3 linked regions of the Schizosaccharomyces pombe genome follow. Changing the gene in region 3 together with the main gene of any one other region gives a genetic interaction. Each region holds a gene or a part of one and is shown on either strand. Other genes may lie near its edges.

Region 1 (4,340 bases), 1.5 Mb from region 3:
ATGTGAAGACACTGGGTCCATGGAGGCCCTGTCAGATTATCTCAAACCATTACAATTTGGAAAGGTAAAATCTCGAGTCTTGTATACTGGGGTGGGTCCAGTAACCGAAACTGATATTGAGAGAGCTGAAACATCCGATGCCATCATTATATCGTTCGGTGTTTCCGTTCCGAAAGCTACTTTTCGTTTAGCAGAAAAACACAATGTAAAGCTGTTGTTTCACAACGTTATTTATCATTTAATGGATGATGTACGGAAACTTTTTGCTTTGCGATTACCGCCCATATTGGTTCAGCGTGTTACCGGAGAAGCTATTATTAGTGCAATCTTCGACATCAAAGCTAAAAGAGCAGTTGTTCATGTCGCTGGTTGTCGAGTTACTAATGGAACTATTGAAAAATCCCATAAAATACGTTTAGTACGTAATGACAAAATTATTTGGTCTGGTGAAATTGACAGTCTAAAACACTTAAAAGAAGAAGTCACCAGTATTAAAAAAGGCAGGGAATGCGGTATATTATTAAAAAATTTTGACGAAATAGTTACAGGGGATAAGCTACAAACATTTGTTGAGGAATACAAACCTCCTGATTTTTAGCATGCACTTCTTATTTAATCCTGGCTTGAACTCCTTTCAATTAAGGCAGGCAATCGAATGAAAAGATTCATGTTATTATGATATACTATGATTGATGTTACATGCATAATGAACTTTCGCTTAAAATTGCAAACTTCTACCATAAGCAAGCAAAGCTTTTTATACATACTTTTTTGTTAATGAATGCATCTCAGCAATCCTTTTTTTCTGTTAGACACGTATTGTAAACGAACGTCGTGTATGTTCATCAAATTGAATTGAAGAGTTTAAAGCTGTAAAAACATGAAGCTTTCTTGGTATCAAAGCGTAGAGCTCACTCTTGGTTAATTTGGTAACTGACCACTGTTCTTTTTTAACTGCGATAATCAGCATTAATACGAACATAGTCATACGAAAAATCGCAAGTCCAATTTGTTTTGGCATAAGGACCACATCCAAGATCAACGTCTACAGTGAGTTCGTCTTGCGATAATATTTCGCTAGCACGGGTCTCATCGACATTTTGTGGTTCACCATTTACTAAAAGCTTCAATGGTTCAGTTCCGTCTGCAGGAATAAAACTAACGGTCGTAGCAGGAGGATTGACAGCAGCACCTGAATAACCGACGGCACACAAAATACGACCCCAGTTAGCGTCCTCACCAAAGAATGCCGTTTTCACCAATGCAGAGTTACTAATGGTTGATGCCACCAACGCAGCGTCTTTCTCTGATCTAGCGCCTCTGACTTGCACAGTAACGAATTTCGTAGCACCCTCACCGTCACGGACAACCAGCTTTGCAAGTTGTTGAGCAATATCCGTTACAGCATCACGAATCTCCTTGTATGCAGGGGAAGACTTGGTAATCTCGGATCCACCAGCAGCTCCATTTGCAAGGAAGGCAATTGTATCATTTGTACTCGTATCACCATCAATACTGATAGAATTGAAACTGTTGTTAATTGCATGACGAAGTATAGATCGGACTGCATCAACTGAGATTGGGGCATCTGTAACAAACAAACCTAAAAGAGTGGCCAAGTTGGGATTGATCATACCTGCGCCCTTGGCAAAACCTGCAATCCTGTAGACTTTGCCTGCAATACTAAGTTCACGGGAAACGAGTTTAGGGAAAGTATCCGTAGTGCAAATGGCCTCAGCTGCTCTCATCCAGTATTCATGAGTGGACCCGAGGTCTTCAACCGCGTGTTCCAAACCGCTTTGAATCTTGTCTAACTTCAAACGTTGTCCAATAACACCAGTCGACATCACCAACGACGAGGGAAATTCCTCTGAATTCTCAGTCCACGAAGTCCAATGTGGACGAGTCAAATTATCAGCTTCGGCGGTAATGAGTTGGGCATCCATCAAACCGCCCTCACCAGTAACAGCGTTAGCGCAACCGCTATTGAACACGACACAGTGAATATCTTTACCGCCACAGCCGTTCAGAGTTTGGCGTGAAACTTGAACTGGAGCAGCTTGAAATGCATTCTTAGTAAAGACGGCTGCGGCGTTGCATGGTCGAGAGGAAAATAAAATGGCTAAATCCTTTTTTCCATTGGCTTTTACGCCGGAAGCAATACCATTTAAGCTGAAACCTTGTGGATACGTTCCAGATTTACTGATGAATTTGGTCTTGTCGGGCATCGTACCAACAAACCGAGCCCGACCAATGCCAGCAAGACGTGCAAAAATTTTGGTTTGCATAGCAATGAATTTAATGGTCAGTCTTGTAACAAAATCAGTGGATCCCTTTTTTAGTAGAATTGAACGAGCAGTTTAATAAAAGCTACAATAATGTAAACTTGCTTTGTATATAAATATATATATGCGATGGCGGTAGTGGTTTAAGAAGGATGAAGTCTGAATCTTCGAAGCGGTTATCAAGTGAAACTTGATAAGAAGATGGGAATGCTGCACAACAAAAGTAGGTATAGCGAACAACTAATTTGTTTGAAATTTATTATTCTTACGTTTAATTAATGATACTTTATGAGCCTTACGTTCGAAAGGATGAAAACAAGTAGCTCCCTAAACCTTACATTCGGGATTAGCTTTGCCTTCGTTTTCTCAGATCTACATTACAGAATATCAGTTATCCCTCTCATAATGTAGTGCAAAGAGAAGGGAAAAATGCTGGGATCTGTCTGTTCTGCTGCTTTTACACATTCATGAACATATAACTGATAGATTTTCAGTTTAATTGGGGCTGCTACCACTGTTTAATTTATTTGGTTGAGTTTCAAACAGCAAAGAAAAACTTCGTGAAATCGGCAAAGTCCAACCACCTCCAAGTTTTATTGCCTTTTTCAAACTTTTCATTGCTTTTTTTAAAAAAGAAAATACCAATTCATGCTTCCAACGCATCATTTCACAATCAAGACTTGCATGTAAATTTAAAGCCAGTTCATCAACATTTTACGTGAAAAATTTCAATTCCTTAAAGTGTGTTTTAAGCAAGAAATAGAATAATAATCTTTATAGTGTTTGATTTATTTCAATTTAACTCGTTTCATTCATTAATAGCTGTTCCTTGCGATTTCAAATTTGAAGGCATGTTGAATTTGGAAATTCTATGTGTTGCTATTCTCTTCTCTTTTTTAAAGAGAAATGTTTAAATAGTATTAATGGTTTTAACTATGCTCAAAAAAAGAGGGAGCACAGCACAACCGAAGACCAATGCAACATACCATTGTTGGAATTGAATTAGCTTGCTGTGGTTATTGTTTATTTTCAATTTTTTTTATGTTGGTTTGCAGGGTTTAACGAATGGTTTCAGCACGTTTTCAAACACTTTCATAGTTTAAACTGGTTCATCAATTTTAATCACAAATAAGCGTTTAAACAAACTGCGGGTTTTGTTTCGCATCAAACTTTCAAGTTTCACGTTTAATTCATTAACAAAATTTAATGTAGTTTAATCTGTTTCAGGAATACGTTTTAATATTGTTTCAACAATAGTTCAGGTACAGTCGTTTTATTTCTTTTCTGTTTCAGTCATTCGCAAAGTTTAAACATTGTAAGTGCTTTCAAGGATAACAATGCAGCCAAAAAGTGTACCAAAAAGAATTCAATTACAGTAGACAAAAAATGGAATCCATTTTTAAGTAGATTCCATCAGTCATAATAATAACTATCACTATCTAAGCTACTATTCATCCAAAAAAGAGACAAGGCTCACATAAACCAACTTGGGGGTTGGTTTAACTGGACCCCATCAAGAAATTTAACAGAGCTTAGAAGACAAGGTAAAAAGAAAAGTGGTACCGAATCCAGCTTTTTGAATGACCATTTCAAAATGTTGCAAGAAAACAACGTTTCTTATAATATTCCAAATTAGAAAAAAACGAACAAACCACAACACAAAGAAAGAGACATTCAACCAACTAAAGCGATCTTGCATGCATATTCCGTCTTACAATAGTAAAAGAGAAGTGCTTTTAAATCAAGACGGCAGAAGATTGACCAACATTTTAATACCCACTAAGTCTGTTTACCTCCCTTGTTTCGCAGACTTCATCGACTATTTATAGGAATTTCCAATGCATAGTGAAAGAAACTCAATTCTGTCCAATAATTTAGTTCACGCCTACTTAAATGACGTAGTTTATAAAAGCTCCAATGCTTTGTTAGTTTACTGAAAGAAGAGCCAATCAAATATTAGCAAGCGACTGATAGCATAAACAAACGAAAGCCTAAGCCTTGGTAATATAAGATACCTTTATATGAATAATATTCTTTTATTTTTTAAATACTTTA
Region 2 (5,111 bases), on a different chromosome or scaffold from region 3:
TAATATTTATATTATTTTCGTTGTGTAAAGCTAAAAAGCAAGGCTAATGGCAAATATGCCTATATTGTCCTTACACTGTACTGAATCGGTAACAATTGACAAACACGCTTTTATAACATTTTATCAGTGCTTAATTAAATTCAATACATCAATAATTTATTGTTATTTAATTCACCGCTATTTTTGAATAAAGCCAAACTAATTCAAAGAGTATTAATACGTTACTTGTTTCAACAAAGTTTCTTTGCCTCTTACATACAAAAAAATGCTCCACGCCTGCCTACTCGTCTGAGCTTCTCAAAGCTAACCCAGACGGTGAGGTATGGGTAGTACGCTTAAGCGCCATCCATTTTCAGGGCTAGTTCATTCGGCAGTTGAGTTGTTACACACTCCTTAGCGGGTATCTACTTTTAAAACAAACTGCGTATTCGCTAACTAACATTTGCACAACTTAACTTCAAGACTAAAAAAAACTACAAGCTACAGCAACAACATTAAAATGTAAAGAGCACTTAAAAATTGATCAGTCAATTTAATTTCAATCAGTAAGACTAGAAATAAAATATCAAGTGAAATTTTTGTTTATAGTTGCAAAAGCAAGATACAAAAAAAAAGAACAAGAAAAATGAAAAAATAAAAAATTCCAATAAACCCACACATCAACCCTTTATGCCATATCTAATCAAAAGTATATCCCAAATGTGTATTCAAATGTATAGGTTTTAGCTACAAAAGTAATCTTTCAGTACGAAGCGTAGTCTTCAAAACGATTGAAACTTGCAAGCTGTAATAAAAACATAAACAAAAGCTAGAGTAGAAAATAAAAGAGTTTATAAAAACCAAGGTGAAAAAAAAATCAATAGACTCTTAGTAATGTCTTTCAACAAGAGACCGAAAATTTATTCTCTATTTCTTCCTCCTTCTTGACAATAACCGAGTTGTCCAACGAATCAAAAGAGATTTTTGCATGCTCCAACGAAACATCAGCATCGGTATTCGGCATTTTCGAAACAGAAACAGAGTTGGTAAGCTGAGGTGATTCAAGACCCTTTGAAGAGAGTATCTCGGCCATCGTGACGGATTTTGAGAGTACGGGGAATTCTGATTTTACCTCGTCAGACATTCCATCTTCTCCACCAGGGCCCTTACCACGACGACGTCGGGTAATTTTGTTCTTCTTCAAACCAATAGGACGATTGTGGCCATGAAGACGGGCATACAAACCACAAGCGTTACAAACAGTCTGTCCGTGACGATCTTTGCGCCACAACGAAGTTTTCGTAGAAGAGCAATTGGCACACACCAAATTCTCAAGTGCCTTAGATGAGCCTTTGTTTCTAGGAGACAATGGTCTCATAACACCATACTGTTTGTTGTAAAGACCACAAGCATTGCACAAGAAGTTAAGCTTATCTGATGTACGTCTCCATAAAGGCGTTTCAGTGACTCCACAGTTAAAACAGACATGTTCGCGATGTTTCTTTTGTTTCATTACACGTGCTGCCTTACTAGCCTTTTCAGTTTTAACGGCAGCAAGGGGTGTAGAGCCTTTCATTCCCTCTGCTAACGTCGACTTCAGACTGAGAGAAGAAGAGTTAGAGGACAGATTAGGAGTGGAAAATTGGGGCAACTTAAGTGAAGCATCCATGAGTAATGAACGAGCCTTTTCATCTGTTTCAAAGCTTTCAAACGAAAAGAATGGATCAACGGTAGCGATCGAATCGGACAAGCTAGGAACTGAGCCCAAGAACTCAGATTGGGATAGCAAAGCAGAAGACGAACCAGTCAAGGATGAGCTCGATTCGGAGAGCTTCGAGGGAGACGTGGAATCGTTCAGCTCCCTTTTAACAGGCGACTGAGGTGACATGAAGCCCAGATTGCTTAGCTTGCATCCATAGTTGGTGGGATAAGATATGGAAGCAAACGCACGCTGACAATCACCATCAGAGGCAGGGAAAAGAGGGGCTTGACTTTCATCGAAACCAAACTCGGAATCAAGAGCACCAGGGAATGGTGTATCGATTAATGCCGAGCTTGGCGTTGGGATGCAGGGAGTCTGTACATAAGAGAAAGGGGGTGTGGGTTCTGACGTCTTACTGGAAGACAAGGCAGCAATGTCAATATGAGAGTTCGACAGTATGGTAGACTTTAGCAATCCGGAATCACCGAGTTGCGCAGACTCTAAATCAGAACATTGCCTTTGATTGTCGAAATCCATGCTGTCAAGAAGAGACCAACGAGCAGAGGGGTTGGTTTGCAATTTCTGATTATTCTCCGTAGAGTTAAAAGCCAAGGGATAATCAGAAAGCAGTTGCAACATTGAAACCGAATCAAAATCAACATCTCCCTTGCCTGGCGCATTGGCGAAAAGGGCATCCTTATGAAGATCAATGGGAAGATTTGCGATATCGGATAATGCTGTATCAGCGGGGGAAGTGAAAGTAGGGTCAAATTCGGAAAATTGACCGTCAAACGACCCTTCAGTCATAGCCGAAGTAGGGAAAGAGGGCTGACCAAAGGGGAAACAAAATTCAGTAGTATCGTTGTAATTCATGATAACAAAATAATTGGATTTGCTATAAACACACAGACACAAAGATAATTATAAAAAAAAATAGAAAAACAAGGGAGAGAAACGAAATTATAATACCGAATTCAATCACACGCGAGTAATATGTTAGTCACACACAGACAAAAAGTAATAAATGTTTAATGTTGACTTTGTAAAAAAATAAGAAGCATAATGCACTTTGGGGATAGTTAAAAAAAACAATAGACCCGACCAAACGATGTAGAGATTCTAAAGACTCTAAATGTTACAACCAGAGGAAAAGAAAGATATTTGACCGAAATGAGTAAATAATAAAGGATTATTCCAACGAAATTAACTTGCGAGTTACATCATATTGGAGAATTATAAAAAAGAGATAAAAGGAAGACGATTAAAATAAGAGAGAAAATTATTTAATCAACCACAATAGTAGAAAAGATTAACCGAAAAATACTAAAAAGATATTCGATAAACAAAGAGATAGGAGAAAAATTTTGGTAGAGGGATAGAAAACCTAAAGCAAAATTAAGAAGATAAAAAAAATGAGGTGAAAAACAACCTACGATAAATTCTCAATGAGACAACATTTTGAATGATTTAGGAGAAAAAGACTTAACGACGACACGAGGACGAACGAAGCATGCTTTGTAAACGTAATATTGGGGGTGGAAACAAAAGATCCGAAACAACAAAAACAACCAGTATATTCGATTTCAACAAGGAAGTAAAATCAACTTAAAAAAACGAGGACTTTATAGATAATTTAACACATCTTGGGAAAAATTAAATCTGAAAAGTAACTAGAAAACTGAGGTATGTAAAAAAAAATATGTCAACACTAAATGGAGTAGAAGACAAAAAAATAGAGATTTAAAAGCTTAAAATAAATGTAATAGACGATTTACGAGATCAGGATGTTAACGCTGTACTAGTAAAATTGTGTGGTAGTTGTGGTGTTGTTGGTTGTTAGTAAGTTTGGTGTAGTGGTAAAATAAAAAAGGAAAAGAAAAAAACCGGCGGCGCAACGAGCTCTTAAATAGGAAGAACGTGACAAGAAAGCCACTACGTAGTCAACATTCATGCAGCTATTATGGACAGGTACGGCAACTTTTGATTGGTAGAGAGAGGAGGCATAATAGTAGGGACAGCGCCTTATCAGAGGGCTTATCGAACGATCGGGGTGACATCGGCCCCAAAGCTTATCGCATCTAAGTCGCTTTGTAAGTGGTGGGAAAAACATTAGATAGCCAATCAAAGATTGCAAAGACTTGAAAGCAACACCCAGGCCAGCACGCAATGAACCATCGTTCAAGTGCATTAAAGTATATAGCGAAAGAGAATGGAATGCAGTAAAATCAACCGGCTGTGGAAGTGAGTAGCGCCGATATCGCTATATAGGAAGTGTGGGGGTGTATATATAAAATGGGGGCGAAAGGGTTACTATAGAGACAAATAGACACGAGGTAACTAAGTAAGTAGGTAGGAGAAAAGCGAATTAACAATTTGAACTTGATAATAAAATAGTTGTGTATTTCTCAGTCAATTTAGAATCAATTGAGGAGAAAACTACATGATCATAGAAGGGAAAGAAGGAACACAGCGAAAGAAAGAAGCGTTAAACAATAGGAATGGTTCTTTTTGAACCGATTGTTTATAGAAATAATAAAATGAATGTTATGATGTGAATGTATGAGTGGAATGTGGATGTGAATATGAATATGAATATGAATATAAAAGAAGATGTAATTAAAAAGTAGGATTTGGAATTTTTCACAACAAAAACTCGATTAACTGTAAATGTCGAGTCCTATTGTTGGTTAAAAAGAAAATTACTTAAAAGTCCTTTTGTAATAAATTCTACTCTTAAAAATTAAAACTGTTTATGCCTTATTATTACACATGTGTCCGACATGCCTTGCCTGTCCAAAATGCCTTGTCTACTATACTTTTCTATACTCAGTCTAACGCATTTACTTTCTCTGCCTGCAACCTTTCTGACCCGCTATAACGATAGTGACTGTATTCGTTTAAGCTTAGTTTCCGTGTTCCATCATCAATTGTTAAGCTTATTTCCGCAAATACACTCGCTCTCGCTATTTAAAGAATTTTCGGATTTTTTCGGTCTGCGCAGTAGCGACTATGAAGGCAGCAGAAGTACATTCCTACCGGAGAATGAGTTCCGTTGGTATTACACACGGAAGGCAAGTGACAAGGCTAGTGAAGGATGATCGATTGATCCTATTTCTCGGGTTGTAAAGGCCCCAAAAATAGAGTGTTACAAGAAAGTAATGGGCCTTGCTTTGTGCGTATTTTTGTTATTCAACATGAGTTTGCTATAGCATGAATTTTCTCTGAAATGCGCATACTAAATTGCAAAACTTGTTTGATAAAAGTGCAATACACTTATCATAACGATGTTGATGAGTAAATGAATGTTGCGCATCACTTGACAGTAGCAAAGTGCAATTATTGGTTTGCGCAACGTTGTTTTGTTCATTTCGCCAACTTTGCTTATTCACACCGGTTCTATGTTCAGGCATTTTGTTGGTCGTTGGTTACT
Region 3 (8,879 bases):
CTCGGTGGTACCAGCATTTTACTTGGAATCTGTAAGCTCAATCCAAGTGGTGTATCAATTTTTTTACGACCCATTACGGATATTTTAAATCTCTGAATTTGTATGATCAAATATTCAGGTAGTTTCGAAATCATAATTACTTTTTTTGCCGACCTTTGAACCTTGCACACGGGACAATGCCATCCATCATGCCCTTGCAAGAGTTCAGGAGCTGAAAATTTTAATAAGCATTCTTGTAGGCTTACTACATGGGAGACATCGTCAATCGGTATCGCAAGCGATGTGAAGGGAGCAAAAGTAGTAGATGTGCGGCCACATGTCATACATTGAGTACGACTGCAAAGTTGACCTACAAAATTGTTGACCACAATACTCTTGTTAGACCGGAGATGCAAGTTCCATTCAATGTGTGAAAAGTGGGACAATGGGAGTTCTTCTCTGGCACTTAATTGATCTTCCGTCAACGGTGCTATCGGAGACCGAGATGCATTGGAGTTCAAATCTTCATGAAGTTTATCAAGAAAGAAATTTAAAAATTCTTGAGCATCGCATTGGCCATCGATGGAGAAATCTCTATTCAATGACTGTACAATTTCTAAAAAATTCCTTGGAGATATTGATCTCTGACCATGGTTTAATAAGACACTTTGAAGCAAGGAAAAGAAAGCAGATGTGATTTTTCCACCGGTACCCAATGGATTTTTGGTATTGATATTTTGAAGCAATCCTCTCCCCTGTAACATAGGAATAGTCAAGTCCTTACACGCAAAAAGACATTGCAGGACACAATTCATGTAACAAGTATTACCCAAATTCGTTAAACCTATAGGCTGATAATTTTCATACGATAAAGAACTATCAACTTTCTTAGGGTTCGCCAATTCCATGAAATGAGGATCCAACTTCAACGAACGTAACATCGAGTAAAGCTTGTAAGCCAAAGAAACGTCTTCGAAGTATCTTTCCAAACTGTAACAAATAACCATGCTTGGATGAAAAGGTGCGGATTTTAAAAAGTCATATATTTTTGAAGAATCCATCGATTGCAAACAGGATATTGGGATGGCAATCGTGTGCTTCGAAAAAACATAACCCTTTGAAGACTCTTGGGAATAGAAATTAAGAAAAAGAACTTTAAGTGATGATTTTTTTGATAGGGAAAGAGCGTCAGAGATTTGAATTACAGGCAAATAATGCTTCACCGCTAATTTGCTTTTTATAGTAAAGGCTTTGGAAACGGCTTGAATTGCTAACTAAAAGGACATGTTAGTATTCAAGATTGTAACTTGAACAAAAAATAAATTAAGTTTGCTTCAAAGATCATAATTAGTACAGTCTCGTCAACTATATCAAATTTATCTGACGAGAAGGCTAGGGAGCTTTGAATACAAAATTTTCGTGTTTTGAGCATTAAAAAAAATACTATGTACAATGTCGATACCTTTTGGAACTGTTTGAATTCTCCATAATGAGTAGACTTAACAGAAATCTCGAATCGGCATGGAATTTCGTAAGCAAGTTTTAGTGCTTTTAAATAGTAATAGTATGCTTTGAGTAATGAATTTTTTTGTTCAAGAGTTTGGGCCTCAAAACTGTTAGTAATTGAAGCACATTACTATAAACGGCACGGAAAAATTAGACATACCTCTTCAAGCCAGCGTTGTCCTCTGAAGGAACAGCTTTGAATCGTTTCATCTTCATTAATATAAACGAATGCTAATTCAAATAGTCTGTCGAAATAATCATCGGACATCCGAGGAAGAACCGAGTATTTGTGTTGGCGACTTAACCTGAATTGAACCAAATACTACAAGACTATAGCCTTTTTTGGTTATTATGGTTTCAATTGAAGCTATGAAGGATTCAAATTGGGACTTGCAGATACAAGTATTCCGGCGAAGGCTTAATCCGGAAGTTATGTAAGTACTAAGCAGGTTAGCTGTGGGTTAGTTAATGTAAACATCTTTATTAACTAGTACCAGAGAGGCAAGAAATGAGATTTTCTTATCCTTGCCCAGTGATCATGGATTGATTACTTTAGTTATAAATAAAGATAAACCGTTTCAAATATCGGTATTACTTGAAAAAAATCAAGAGTTCATGCAAACGGCAATGAATAAGTACGTTGAAACGGCATTTCAAAATCAGAAAACAACTTTGACAAGTTTATTTAATTATTTGTTACAAAATTGGAAATCATTTGAGACATGCAATACAAAAGAGCGTGAGTTGATGGTTCAACAAGTCGATTCTAAGAAACCAGAAACCCCAACTGACTTAGAGCCGTTGGCAAATAAGCTTGAAGGACCTCTATCAGAGAGGGTTCATTTGAACACTACACTTGACTATGAAGTACTGCGTGGTCAAAATCACTGTCAAAAGCAGAATACTACCCAAACAAAAACTACCATCTCTGGCTCTGAACAGTTATTCAATGATGAAAAGCCAAAAAAAATTATTTATTCAAAAGGAGGAAACGATGGGAAAGAAGATGATCTACAAAATGTTAATGAACCACAGGATGCTTACAGTAACGATCATGACATTCAGAGCAAAGACACAGAGCTTCTGGGTAACGAATACTGCTTAGAATGGAAGAATCCGCATTTAACTAATGTCGGTACTCTCAAAGCACCAATTTTACGTTTGGTCATAAAGTGTGTTCGGTGCCATTATGGAAGTGAAATTTCTATTGCTACAAAATTTTCTCTTGTTTGCAATAAGTGTAGTAATACTCTAAGATTAGTTTGGGTGCCTGGTGTGATTCACCCAAATAATGCCCGTTTAGGTATCCTCCATACTTTAGGATGTGTACCGGTTGACGTGATGCCCATTGACTGTCAGGTCTCTTGTATGGAATGTGTTGATGAGCAGATAACATCCTTTAAAGGTATTTCTTCCATGCAGCCCATGCTACAGTTTTGTAAAGTATGCAAAAACAGAATCTTGGTTGAACATCAAGATACCGAATTTCATTTGTTAAAACAACGACAAAGTTCAATGGGCGGGAAGGTGAGCGCAAAAAAGAAGCAAAAACAAAACTTAAACATTACGAAAGGATTGCCACTTCCCAATAATGGTGCTTGCGAACATTACAAAAAATCATTCAGATGTAAGTCGTTTATAAAATTCATAATTAACAATCAGGGTTTCGTTTTTCATGTTGTGATCGTGTTTATCCATGTGATGAATGTCATGACGCTGATCAAAATCATACATTTGAGCATGCTAATCGAATAATATGTGGGTACTGTGCCATGGAATCTTTCTACAAAAAGGATGCAACTTGCCCCCATTGTGGAAATATGACTGTGAAAAAACAAACCAGTGCCTACTGGGAGGGAGGAAAAGGAATGCGCGATCGCGTTCGCATGAGTAGGAAGGATCCAAGGAAGTACAAAAGGAAGCATCACGGTAATTAATTGGGTTGCATGACATCCATATTTTTTTGCTTCATTAGATACCCATATTGTATAAAAATTTAATGAATAACAAGTAGTTAATCTTTTGATAGAAGATACTTTTAAAGTCTTCGTATTTAACCAAAATAATTATCCTTCATCATCACTCACTTCATAATTGACGAGAGAAACCGAATTATCTTCAAGGATTTTCTCTCCCTTTAAATTTTCTGTAGGAAATTTCCTTTGCTCGCTCCTTAGCTTCTCGGAAGGGACAAATTTTCGAGCAAAAGGATCTTTTTTTGCGAATGAAGTCTCAGCAAACTTTGCAAAAGTCGAAAATGTTCTAGAAGAGGGCATTAATGTTCTTCTATAATCTAATTTCCTTATAAATTTATTCTTTCCTAATTCGTTATCTAGCAACAATAATGCCTTATCCTTGTCAGAAGAAGAGGGTGGTAATATATCAATGTCCAACGCTGCACGGTTTTTGAGAGATAGATCTTTAGCTTCTTGCTTTTTTTCAATTTTTTTCCTTTCCTAAGTTATGGGTTAGTTAATATGAAAATTTTAACGCAAAACAAATTCTTCTTACCCGAAACTGTTTTCGCAGCCTCTGAGAAGAAACGAAAGGATCCGACCAAAGCCTTTCATTTTTCTCATATATAAAGTTTATTACAGAACTATTATGCTTTTCTGACTTTTGCTGAGTTAATTGGGTTTCCAGCGCTTCAATTGCATCAGACGGCACCTTTTCGTCGTTTTCAGCTTTTGCAGGACGTTCATTGATGTCTTGAGGTTCAATTTTCCTTCTGCCTCCAGAAGCAACGATGTATTCTGTATTCTATTTATGTCAGTAACAAATTTGTTAAATTAATCAAACCAGTACCTTAGGATCCGTATGTACATCGATAGGGTTTGAGCATAAATGACATTTTAAGCTGAATGACCATATTTTCGTAGTATAGTATGAGCCAATCTCTTTTTTAACAGCATTGAATCTAGTGCCTTGTTGAATGATATTTTCACAATTGTTGCACCACACTGGAAATGGCATTTCAAACCGAATTACATTTCGTAATTTATCAAATTTTCTTTTAGCATTCGGCCCTTCCGGGGGAATATATTTCCCCATATTAAATCCTTGCATTTTTAGTGAGTATATAGCTCTTTATGCCCAAAATCAGTAGTTCCTAAGTTAATACTACGTCTAGGTGAAGTTCAGGCTAAATCAGTGGCATGCAACAGAAACATAATTATAACTCTTAGTTAATTCATGGCTTTTCAACAAACAATTTTAAATTACGTTTGCTAAATTGACGTTAAAATAATAAGGGTTCCATTCTACAGTTTCAAACGGACAAGGTAAACATGTACAAATAAATAAATTACATGACGATTATTTGAATTCATTTCTTATAAATTAATAGAAAATTATAAATGACATAAAAAGGTATCGATGAATTATTAAACACTTGATGATATTTTTAGGTTGCTTCAACGGGGACGTTCAATTTCTTGGCCAAGTCTAAGAAGCTTTTCGTGTAGCTATAAAATTTCGGCCTTTTGCATAATGATAAGACAATCAAAAATGTCTGCTGAGTAGGGAAAGGACCGTTATGCGACATCCTTTTAATGGTATTTAAGCATTCAGCTGCTTGGCCCTGCTGAACAAGGTTACGTAGCTTCTCATGATATACTTGAAGATTTAAATCAAATTTGTGACTTTCCTCAAAATACTTCCAATACCTTGCTAACAAATCACCGTTTTGTATTTGACGAATGACCTGTAATGCTGTAACCAAACTTCTTGAAGTACAATCGCAATATGGGGGTAAAGGATAACGCAAGTTGGAATCTTCGAAAATCTGATATTCCAATCCCATCACTTTTGTAAGAATATTTAACCCCACGTTTCTCACTTGAGGCGAGTTGCTAGTAGCCAGAAGTTTCACAAAGGAACAAATAAGACTTTCATCAACTGCTATTCCTTTCTTTTGGCATTCAAGGACAAAATAATTCCAAAGATTCGTCCCCATCTTTAACACTTCTTCACGTTGTTCCGGATTGAACATAGAAAAGTCGTTCAAAAGTCGAAGAATTTGAGATCCACTATAGAAATCCAATGTTTGTTTGATGGATGGAATAATCATTGACACCAATACCATACTTTTAAGCTTTAGACTACACTTGGATATAATTCGTATGTGATGCAAATTGGATGTGACATTATTAGACTCCTTGAGAGCACTAGCTGTTACCTTTTCACTATATTCACGTAGTTTAGAAAAATTTCCTTGCTTATTCTTTTCAATAGCATCGCAAAATCCCTTTAGAAGAATGGAGTATGTATGATCGCTAGGTTTTTGTTGGCGCTTTTTCATATCATTGTACAAAGACCAAGCAGCGTTGTAATGCCCTTTAGCTAAATGATATTGTAGTACAAGGTTATAGGCAACCGTCTTCTTGGCATTTGATCTCTCGTACAGTAAATGCAATGCTTTCTCTAAAGACTCTTTTTGAAGTAACGAAGATACATTTTTAGCCAGTTTGAAACCATCGTTTCTTATTAAGGATGACTTAGTTTTTTTATTTCGAAACTCATTTAGATTGTTGACTTGCTCCTTGAATTTCAAAGCATCAGCGATTAAAAGGCGCTTTCGTACTAATTTCCGCGCATTACTTACTGAAACACTATACGTGGTTGCAAATTCCCGCAAGCAGAAGCGGTTTAGGAGCAAATCGACAAAGGCCCTTCGCGGAAATGTCCTTTTAATGAATTGCATTAAACAAACCACTAGTTTATTCAAGTTTAGGATTAAAACCGCGTTAGTAGGAAGTAAGTTATAAAATATGAGTTGTTACGAATGAAGACACTACATCATTAGTTCAACCATCGTCTTATGTACAACGTTGAGTAAAAGTGCTGTTTGACGAGGTAAAATTACTATATGCACACAAAAGATTGCAAAAATGAGTTAACAAAGCTAATTACAATGAAAGTAACTACTAGCGATGAATTTACTAATAACACCTAATGACCAAAACAACTAAATCTACTTGTTGTAAATTATTTTGTCAAAGCTAGGAAAGATATGGTTATTTTTAACATCTACACCAAATTAAAGCATCTTTCTAACGAGAGAGTTAATATGCTCATCACGCTTGCCAGCATCACCACCTTCGATGAAATGCTTGAACTTGCGATCTCTCCAGCCACCCAAGGGAGAAGAAAGTTGGAAGGGCCAGATGAAGTTGGCAGCTTGCTTGAAGTTGGGACCGACGGTGTAAATTTCGTGAATCAAATCCTCGATAGACAAGATAGAGTACTTGCCCAAAGCAGCTTCGATGATAGCATTGTCAGAAAGAGCAATGCGTTGTTTGTTGACCTTACCAAAACCACGCTTGTAAAGGAGCTCACGAACAGTCTTGAGGTTAGGAATACCATAAGTAACATAAGGTTCAACGACTTGAAGCATTTCTTTGGTAGCCTTGTTAAATTTAACAAAGACACCGTTGTTGATTTGAATAAGACGGAGTAATTGCATGATCTTACGGGCCTTGGGAGGAATGTTGTTGATACCACGAATACGGATGACAAAGACCAACTTGGTTTCGTCAGGGACGTAGTAGTTGCCCTCAGCACGAGCCTTGCGACCGAGTTCGATTTGCTCACGTTCGGCCTTGCGGTACTCAGCATCGTAAGATTCGGCGCGCTTTGCAATGAGCTCACGCTTCTTTTGTTGAGCCTAAACATAACAGTTAATACAGTAGAAATTTTGTGAAATTAGAATGGATGTAATTTAGATGGAAAGAAATAAATAAAGAGAAAAGTAGAAAAACAGTAATCAGTCCCGAAAGATGGTAAATTGTGGAACGCGCACAGCCTAAGCTAGCTATCCGAAATTTGTTGTCATCATCTTGTTTTTCATATTTCTCAATTATCTGCTTTATTATTGCTTATAAAAATAAAGCAATCATAAAAAATTCCATGACAGGCTAAAGCGTTTGACTAATTTTTGGGAGGTGAAAACCCTTGCAAACCGATCAAAATGAATGTGGGAGGGTTCTATCTAGATGAAAAAACACAATCTGTAGTGTACTTTATAGATAAACTCTTCATCATTCAAAAGATTTCTGTACTTTATTCAATCCATCCAAAGACAAATATCCATAGACAAAACACTTACAGCTTTCTTCTCGGCAGCGGCAGCAACACGCTGTTCACGAGACTGCTCTTGGGTCTTCTTCTTCTTCAAAAGAGACTCAGGAGCAAAGATTTGCTCCTTTGAGGGGACCGTTGACGATGCTACAGCCATGATGGTGGATGTCTGGTGGTAAAGTTGGTAAGAAAAGACTAGTGGTCAACTTTTCCCATGAGCAGTCACAAAAGTTTCGACACAAATTTGTGACTGTTCCTTTAGTTTACACAGGAAGAAGCCCAAAACAAAAGAGATATCGCAGTTACCAAAAACTAACCACGAAAAATGGCTACTAACGTTGGCCCTCAAATCCGTTCCGGTGAGCTTGTTTTCGGCGTTGCTCACATCTTCGCCTCCTTTAATGATACATTCGTTCACATCACTGATTTGACCGGCAAGGAAACCATTGTTCGTGTCACCGGTGGTATGAAGGTCAAGACTGATCGTGATGAGTCTTCTCCTTACGCTGCTATGTTAGCCGCCCAAGACGCTGCTGCTAAGTGCAAGGAAGTTGGTATCACTGCTCTTCACATCAAGATCCGTGCTACTGGTGGTACTGCTACCAAGACCCCTGGTCCTGGTGCTCAAGCTGCCCTTCGTGCCTTGGCCCGTGCTGGTATGCGTATTGGCCGTATTGAGGATGTTACTCCCATCCCCACTGATTCTACTCGTAGAAAGGGTGGTCGTCGTGGTCGCAGACTTTAAGTGTGCTGTCGTATCTGCCAGTGTCTCGAATTTTATTTCGGTACTTTTCTGTCACATGGGAGGAATTTCACTGGAATTGTTATTCGTTTAGGATATCTACAGTCAAAAATGGATTTGTAATTTTCTTCTAAAAGTATTCCGTAGTACTATATTTGTGTATATTTGTATTGTTTGAATATTTAGAACTTCATGTCTTGTATCCTGTGAGCCACTGTGTTGGTGTAATGAAATTGCAAGTTGTGTTCCTTTAAAGAATTGACATATGCTCTTTAAGTCTACAATAATATTACAGAGTTTTAATTGGACTATTTTAAAGCTATCATTTTTGCCAATTAGAAAGGGATATATGTCCTTCATCAATTCACTCTTTCGTCCGATCACGGAGTGTCATCGGTGTATAAGGAGAGCTTTGTTCTCAAGATTATAATTTGTTGCAACGGTAGATTTTTCATATAAAAGTGTATTGAATAGCCCTTTTAAATGCACAGACATAATTCGATGCTTGTTTAATTTGCATTTTTTCTAAATCTTTTCACATGTAAACAAATTTATAAACACCGTTGAAAACCAT

Evidence for each region. Genes that interact genetically often act in the same process or in processes that back each other up.
Region 1: mutations in saf4 (region 3) and aga1 together harm fitness more than expected from each alone (negative genetic interaction), as found in Schizosaccharomyces pombe (one large-scale study listed by BioGRID).
Region 2: mutations in saf4 (region 3) and fil1 together harm fitness more than expected from each alone (negative genetic interaction), as found in Schizosaccharomyces pombe (one large-scale study listed by BioGRID).

The regions. Positions count from the first base shown.
Region 1 is NC_003423.3:335,851-340,190, forward strand, and holds aga1 (glutamate N-acetyltransferase), read right to left. Parts: upstream 2,431-4,340; 5' UTR 2,289-2,430; coding exon 951-2,288; 3' UTR 599-950; downstream 1-598. Other genes in the region: mti2 (translation initiation factor IF-2Mt), read left to right, coding at 1-598.
Region 2 is NC_003421.2:810,098-815,208, reverse strand, and holds fil1 (zf-GATA type transcription factor), read right to left. Parts: upstream 3,520-5,111; 5' UTR 2,555-3,519; coding exon 881-2,554; 3' UTR 501-880; downstream 1-500. UniProt on the Schizosaccharomyces pombe protein: Activates genes required for amino acid biosynthesis and acts as a master transcriptional regulator during amino acid starvation. Binds variations of the DNA sequence 5'-GAT[AC]GC-3'.
Region 3 is NC_003423.3:1,784,496-1,793,374, forward strand, and holds saf4 (splicing-associated factor Saf4), read right to left. Parts: upstream 4,552-8,879; coding exon 4,291-4,551; exon of another isoform or gene 4,246-4,290; coding exon 3,997-4,245; exon of another isoform or gene 3,942-3,996; coding exon 3,552-3,941; 3' UTR 3,423-3,551; coding exon of another isoform or gene 3,148-3,422; 3' UTR 3,113-3,147; downstream 1-3,112. Other genes in the region: ubiquitin hydrolase Ubp4, read right to left, coding at 1-1,253, 1,442-1,585, 1,646-1,753; SPOM_SPBC18H10.09 (zf-CHY type zinc finger protein), read left to right, coding at 1,837-1,919, 1,983-3,112, 3,148-3,422; PPR repeat-containing protein Ppr2, read right to left, coding at 4,889-6,187; RNase MRP subunit, ribosomal protein L7-like Rpl701, read right to left, coding at 6,524-7,150, 7,592-7,720; rps1402 (40S ribosomal protein uS11), read left to right, coding at 7,889-8,308.